2 linked regions of the Neodiprion lecontei genome follow. The protein of the gene in region 1 binds, or shares a complex with, the protein of each later gene. Links are inferred from orthologs where the notes say so. Each region holds a gene or a part of one and is shown in the gene's direction. Other genes may lie near its edges.

The links.
Region 2: protein brunelleschi (region 1) and trafficking protein particle complex subunit 11 share a complex: the UniProt entries of both Homo sapiens proteins name them as parts of the multisubunit TRAPP (transport protein particle) complex. The link is inferred for Neodiprion lecontei from reciprocal best matches to the Homo sapiens genes TRAPPC9 and TRAPPC11.

Annotation. Positions count from the first base shown.
Region 1 is NC_060260.1:38,738,688-38,742,617, forward strand, and holds the start of protein brunelleschi, read left to right. Parts: upstream 1-1,528; 5' UTR 1,529-1,834; intron 1,835-2,145; 5' UTR 2,146-2,184; coding exon 2,185-3,122; intron 3,123-3,200; coding exon 3,201-3,474; intron 3,475-3,549; coding exon 3,550-3,748; intron 3,749-3,839; coding exon 3,840-3,930. Other genes in the region: 39S ribosomal protein L54, mitochondrial, read right to left, coding at 610-914, 1,238-1,340. UniProt on the Homo sapiens protein: Functions as an activator of NF-kappa-B through increased phosphorylation of the IKK complex. May function in neuronal cells differentiation. May play a role in vesicular transport from endoplasmic reticulum to Golgi.
Region 2 is NC_060264.1:3,294,713-3,298,642, reverse strand, and holds the start of trafficking protein particle complex subunit 11, read left to right. Parts: upstream 1-1,092; 5' UTR 1,093-1,475; intron 1,476-1,618; 5' UTR 1,619-1,669; coding exon 1,670-1,861; intron 1,862-1,978; coding exon 1,979-2,148; intron 2,149-2,223; coding exon 2,224-2,412; intron 2,413-2,499; coding exon 2,500-2,673; intron 2,674-2,844; coding exon 2,845-3,012; intron 3,013-3,144; coding exon 3,145-3,349; intron 3,350-3,423; coding exon 3,424-3,597; intron 3,598-3,692; coding exon 3,693-3,771; intron 3,772-3,846; coding exon 3,847-3,901; intron 3,902-3,930. UniProt on the Homo sapiens protein: Involved in endoplasmic reticulum to Golgi apparatus trafficking at a very early stage.

The DNA of each region.
Region 1 (3,930 bases):
TCCACACGTTTTTCCAATTCGCTTTAATTCGACTTGATTCCGTTTTTGGACGTACTCAATTCTATTCAATTCGTTTTAGTTTATTGGGTTAAGCACTTCTTTCCACTGATTGTAAATAGGTGTACGATTTGTGGTTCCAGATTAATTATCACGTGTTCATTTCAACACATTGTATAATTAAACCATCAACTTAGCCAGATTTAGTACGCATACGTATGTGATGTACGTATGTCCTCCAATCTGTTTCAAAATCATTGGCATTGGTTAACAGAGTGCACAGAACGCTAGAAATAGCCGCATCTTTGAATACAGAAACAGAATTTACGATATTTTCACGAGAATCACAAAAAGTATGTGAAATCAAAAAGGTTGAGAATTTGACCGGCCTATTTCACTTACATACGTGTACTTGTACTAATGTCAATGATTCACTTTGGTACAAAATAATACTTGAAAATCGTAAAGTGGGGAGTGAGTGTTTACAAGTTTCAAGTCAGTTATGAATCTTTATTTTGACTATTACTGTACACGAACATTCACAGAGCTTAATGTAGTATCTATTTTTACATTGTATAAGAAATCGGTATAATCTAAACTACGAAGGTAGCATTAGAAGGGTTTCAACTTGGCCATCAAATTGGTCCTCCTCATGGCTGCTTTCTTCACCCGCCTCCAGTATTTTTTCGTATCTGGATCCAGCTCTTCCAGTTTAAGAGGTGGGCCTATGTGTATGTCCCAAAGCCAGTCGGGATATTCAGAATCTGGCTTAATCTCAATGTCCTGTCCTTCTTTCATTATATTACTTCCGCACACGAATTTTACCAATTTTTCAGGATCTGTTTCAACTGGAAGTACCTTCCTCTCCAACGGCTGACTTAGTTTCAGCTTTTTTTTCCCCTTTCCGAACATACCACCTGAAACAGGAAATGAAGATAGGACAAAGATGGCACTTACTTTAACTGCTTGCGCAATTAATTGACATCAAAGAAGCAGAGCTATGGTTTTCCATTATCAAGTAGATATATCGAAGTATAACAGTCGAAAGGTAGGAGAAAAGTATTCGACGTTTAAAATACGCGCTCTTGTGGGACAAACACGTGATATATTTTCACCTGTCGGTTGGCAACACGAAATGCCGTTCGTATGTAACTCATAACTTAGTCTAACCTAATCTAAACAATTCCGGAGGAACTATTTTCAATGAAAGATGTGAGAGTTGATATGCATTAATACGTACCGGCATCTGCCTTCGCGTAGCCTTTAATCTGCACGACATATTGTGACGGAACTATAATATTTTTGCCTAAACGAAGCAAACAAAGTGACGAGGAGAGACTCATGATAACACAATCGTGTCCCTCACGCGACCCTCGTGGGAGATAACCAAACTATTTGACCAATTGGACACAACCGTAGAGTACGTATTTGACACTAGAGAGTATGTGCAACAATCACTTCGTTATAGAATCCGGATTTGTGAAAATAAGATTATGTACATATATGACACAAGTCTGCCTTGACAGTTTGACTATTCCATCTGGTTCATCGACATAAATTTATTTCTCATTACTATATTTATGTGGAAATGAAAATCTGGACAGAACAACATCCTTTTGTCCGATTATACAAAATCCATTGATCACGTAAACATTGTAGAACGCTAATAAACTCTGAATTCACACCGGCTATTGACTAATATCACCCAACCTGACCTAACCTAGCTTTTATTTGTCAGCTGAGTTGAAAGCTGTCAAACGGCAATTCCCGATCCATAAATTAAGGCTCTGATCAATTGAATTTCGTTGCACGTCGTTGTACAATGATCACCGCTAAGGTAGGTAGAAACTCGGAAGTTAAAACTTCTCGCAATAAATTAGCAGCGCGGAATAATTATGAATTGACTAATTTTGACTCGTCGAATTTATGTCAATCTTGTAGATGTTCCATTCGCGTTTTCACGAGTATGAATGAAATACACTGAGTGAAAAAGAAAAGAAACACAACAAGAGTAACTTCTCTGTAATCCGTATAAGGTTATCCAAAATGTGCATGTGTACCTAGCAAAACCAAAGAAATATGATATTTGAAGATTGATGTAAGTCTTGAACATTCATGTAATAAACCATCCACTTTCTGTGTCTTCAGGTCACATTTGGTTGTTGCTTGATGGTAGCGTTGGTATAAATGCGGTCTGCAGTCAGTGTAATTCTGTCGAGTTCGGTGCCTGACAACAAGATGTCTCAGCCCGACTATGAGCAGACAGCTCACGACCACGCAGCACTGTTGTTGCTATTGAAGCCAATTGGCACTCAAACGAAGCAGAAGACAGTAACAAAAATAGGAGAGAGAATTATAAAGAGTGGAAGTAGATTTACAGTGCTTGATTCTACCGGTATAACGCGTGAAATTCTTGCCAGATTTGTAAGGGAACATCCAGTTGAAAATAACGATTGGAGTGAATTTCAAACGCACAGAAGACTCCTAGGCCTGATTACTATAGGAAAATATGACAGCCAGACAGAGCTCGATGAGCTCTGTAGACTGCATGAAACTTTGAAAGTGAAATATAGCGCGACCCTCTACGATTCCAGAGCAATTCTTTTTGGACCAGTTGAATCTGAGAATTTAAATGAACCACCGAAACCATTTACGACTCCTTCAAATTTTAAGACAAGGGCGCTGTTCTACGCAGATGAAACTTGCCCAGACCTTGAAGCTCAAATTGCTGAATGTCTAAACTCTCTCTTTTGGATCCTAGAATCTAAAAGACTTGAACGATCCAGGGAAAAAGTTGACCGTGTTCCTTTGCTACTTGCACCGTTTGAAAAGAAGGATTTCATTGGTTTGGACCTTGACTCGGGTACCATGAGAAAGAGGTGCGTCGGACGAATGACCAAACACTTGGGAGATCTTTGCCTCCAGGCCGGCTTACCTGCCGATGCTTTATACCATTACAATTCTGCTGCTAATACTCTGCAAGCTGTTAAGGATTGGCTCTGGCTCGGCGCTGCATTTGAGGGGTTGTGTGCTGCTTCTGTTCTAGTCTTATATCCAAATATGTGTCGGAGTCTTCCCTTACAGAGAAATTCGTCCTTGCAGGAAGGTAGTCCAGGGAAACAAAGGTAAATATAAGTTTTAAAAGTTGTTGAATTGAAAAGTAAGTCTGCAAGGTAATCAAGAATTCCCATTTTCATCTGCAGAAGGGAGTCTCAGGCCTTGAATACTTTGCCACCTTCTCCTAATATAGAGGCGATCAAGGCTGAGATGCCGCAAATTTTACCGCCTGAAGAAATTGCAAAAAAATATCGAGAAGCCATAGTTCACTACAGCAAACACAAAAACGCAGGGGTAATTGAGACGGAAGCAAGTTTCAAGGCGACAAGAATTTCTATAGAACAAAACTGCACTTTGCAGGCAGCTTCTTTTCTCAATAATGTTGTATTCATCAATTTGAACATTAGCGAGCATGAAAAAGTAAGCAAATTCAGTTTTCCACTCATTGCATGTTTTTGAGATAATGCTGAATACGTTGGAAATATTCTGTTCCAGATTGAACGTTTCACTACACTGTCAGAACTGTTCACTGCCTTTGGCTTCACGCGCAAAGCCTCTTTCTGTTTACGTCTAGCTGCTACGAGGCATGTTTCTCAAAATAATCCAAATCCTGATTGGCAGCAGTGTTATAATCTAATGTTGCAAGCGGCACCTGGGCTGAAGCTTAGTCTTGATCCAGTGGAAATGCCTTCTGGTGAGGTTGCGAACAACTTTTCACTAAATTGAACCACCAACAACTGGAAGTATAAACGTCTCACTATTAACTAATTCTCCGGTTTTTCAAGATGGCTTGCGGGGTTGGCCTACTTTACAAATTCAGCTCATACAAGAGCTGGTCGTTGCCGCTAAGCGAATGGGTAATCCAGCCCTCGCCAC
Region 2 (3,930 bases), on another chromosome or scaffold:
ATTAGGATCTTAAATGTATTTAATGGAAAGACCTACAAGATAGAACAGATCTTAGGTTTAACAAAAGGTGATGGCTATTTATGAAGAATTCTGATATACAATAGCAAGGATTGCAACAAAAGTAGATTTCTATCAGATTCCTTTTTTGGAAACAGATAATGCCAATGAACAATTTTTTGAATTGAAGAAACGTTGGTATAAGGAGTAAATTTATCTTAGCCATTTTCGAAATCGACTAATACCCAAAATCAATTTCAATTACCTTTTCTGAATTAATTTGGCCCAGAAGAATTCAAGAAAAAGTGTTCCAAACGTAAATGGACCAACACCTAAAGAAATACGAAGCAATTTTTCTGTTTTCGGTTGTAGTTTTCGATTCGTTGATCGCAATGGGTTGAGACTGTGCGCAAACGTTTTTTCTAGCAAAGCTACGTGTACATGGCGTCTCGAAAAATTTAGTCGCGTGTTTTTCGAAATTGCCAATTTGCGACCCGTTTTTACAAATTGGACCAAGAAACTCAACTGAAATAACGTACGGTTAAATGCTAATTATTTGAATTATTTGACTTTAAGGTTTCAGAAATTAACGCAGCGACTTGGGACTCATTTTCCAGCACCGTTTTCCGAAATCTATTCTTGGAAGAGCGTTGAAAATAATAATGAACGTATTTCGAAACGACGTGGTCTCTGTTGTTGACGTTTTATCGTAACAAAATATTGGAAAGAATTTACTATTTAGGAGTTTCCGATACCTTTAAAGACACTCAGATTTCAAAATATGATGTAGGAAGTTTGAAATCTACACACGCCAACGTTCCCAGATTAAAAAATCTGATCTCCACACCACTGATCTCTGTATTAACCGCGACACTGATCCAATGTATATCTATATCCGATTTTTTCATTTCGGATCATTCCGAAATATCCCACATGCCAGCACACATGTCAAAATACGTCCTATCTGTAGATGAAACGCCGTTTTGATGTAAATACTACAAATTGACAAGGTTGTAGTCGGGGTTGCCTGCAACGGGGCGTCGCAATTTCTTCCGTTGAGGCTGTCAACCTTAATTATTCCCAGAACCTCCGCAAATTGTGATGACCGTCAGGAAAGTGTATTTTAAAATTATTCGGAATCATATTTCTCATTTTTTGTGTGAGACTTGATCGGCTTGGGAGTTGACACAATCAATTCATCGTGGATAACAGATTCGTTCTTACTATAGCAGACGTTTCGCCAACGCTTGCGCGGTAGCACGCGATCTGTTACCCACGTATTTCGCATCTTTACTCCGCCCTGACACCGTAGCTGTCATCATTTGAGTTTTCTGTCACTCAAAAAAATCATCAAAACTAGTGGTACAGGGGTCTCTGTAGGGACCCGACAGCCAACTAAAAGACTTAAGAAAAAGAAGAAATCGCCAAATCCTGCATGAGCGCTGAGCCCAGTTTACGCGCAAACCATTCTCAAATAGGTTTAAAACACATTTTGTTAAGTGTGCCTATTTAGCCTAACCTCAATTGAAATGTCAAACTAAATAGATTTGATAACGTTTGAACTCAATAACTTATCACAGCTTTCAAATTGAGATATGTGACCCTTTTAATTTTACAACAGATTCTACTTGGGACTTCTGTTCTGTTATTCCTGGTTCTTGTCCATTGATCCATGTCAGAACTACCTGCAGAATTGACAGCAAAGCCCTTGGCTTTGATCGGTGTTACCGGATTGGATACAGTAAACAATGCGATTCACCGATTGATTTGGGATGCATTCAGCAACAATCGCCGGCCAGACAGTGCAGCTGTTCAGTTTAAAATATTAAGCAATGCCCATGAGTTTCCAACAGTTAAACCAAAGGTCTGTTGACATTAGATCACTCTTCGATACAACAACTCGAATATTCAAGTTATTTCACTAAGAATTTGTCCCCTTAAATTGAATGGCATGACGAATAACTTTCGATGTCTGCTGTAGCGTAACTCCTACGAATGGTACATACCCAAAGGGATATTAAAACGAAATTGGATGAATAAATATCTAAATGACATACCATCCGTCGTTGTTATATTTTATGACTTGGATTGGAATGATTCTATGTGGAATGAAAAAAAGATCGAATGTGCATCGAGAGTTCAATCCTTGAGGTACATGTATCAGATTATTTATTTGGTTACAAATCAAAATATATCTAAGTATAACAAATCTTCAAACAATTATAGAGCTGCTATCGAGGGTAGAAGTACGAAGATTGCTGTAGTTCTAATACAGCATGGAGCACCGCCACAACCAGGCGCTGAAGATGCTGCAACAACTGAGCGTGCTACAGCTTTGTGTGCTGCATGTGAATTGCCAGCTAAATCGTTATATGTCTTACCTCATGGCGATCACTTGTTGGGTTATACTCTAAGGTAGTTGCTTGAAATAATAAAGTGTAATACTTGTTGGTTGTGTGCTCAGCAAGTTTGAATAGGACTAATGACAATCTGTACATGTAGGTTGGAAAATGCCTTCTATGATTTGGCCCAAAACTTCTATCACCTGGAAGCCCGCATCGTGAAAAATCACAGAGATCACCTGAACAAGACTACACATCAATATTTGTTTGTCCGGCATCAGTTTAAGATGGGCTTTCTAAATGAATTGAAACAGGATCAGCACATGGCTCACAAGCAAGTTGTCATTATTTTTCATGTGATATTTCAATCTGGACACCTAATCAACACTAGTAAAAAAAAAAAAACAAGCTTGTTGAGAACTTCGAATCATAGCTAACACTTTTGTATTCAATAACTCAATTCGCGAACCAATCCCTTCTAATCATGCAAGTGTTTATTTCACAGGCATTATCAGTTGGCGTACAATAACTTGCTTGATATACGAATGGTGGACACAAATGCTTTGGAAATAAAGACTGTTGCAAGCTTCATAAATTACAAACTATGTCGTCTAATGTTCAACTTAAATCTTCCCCGTGATGCTATTTCGCAGTTTAGAGCTCACACAGATCGGTATGTATATCTTTACAATATAAAATTTTACATGTACGATTATCTTTCACCAATTACTAGTAGGCCTCAGTACCAGAAAATTGATTGCATTCAAAGGGAATATCATAACTCAAATTCCATATACCATTACAGTTTTAAATTGAAAGTTGGTCCCAAAGAACTAATGTTTGAACATCACGCGTGGATGTCAGGACAGTTCTCCACGTTTGCGGAATTATTTGATGAAGCCATCAGGCAAGGTCTTCCTGCTGTTCAAACTCAGCATCCAGGATACTACTTTCAGCTGGCAGCTCAGCATGCTACTTTGCGGCAAACAGCGTGCAGAGATCTTTGCAAAGTGAGCAGATATTTGACTTGGTTTATATTATTTCATCTATAATGAATCTAAACCTGTATTTGATTATGATTCAGGATGTTAATGAGTATCCCGAACCTGATCCTTTGGCAGGCCAAGACAAACTTGAATATTACGGTCAGAGACCATGGCGTCCAGGGAAATTGAGTGCTGAGCCTGCAGACATGGCACGGGAAGCAGCGGCTATTCAAGCTTTACAACACAAAGAGAAGACTACTGTCAACCATTCTGTAAGTCAATTAATTTCTCAGGAATGCTGAGAGATAATATTGTGATGCGTGTGATAAATTGGTAGCAGAAATAGTTGTTTATAATTTATTTTCAGATGATAATCATCGGTCTTTTAGGACATGCAATTTCCCAATTCAAAACTTATCGATGTCCAAGAATGCGTCGTCATTTAGGTTTGAATACTACCATAACTTTATGCAAATGTATTAATTTGAATATCACTGGCTTCTAAAGAATTAATATTTCAGTTGTACAAATGGCTGATGAGTATTACAATTCTCGAGATTACGGGAAAGCACTCACGTAAGTTTATACGACTGCCTTTGAAGGCT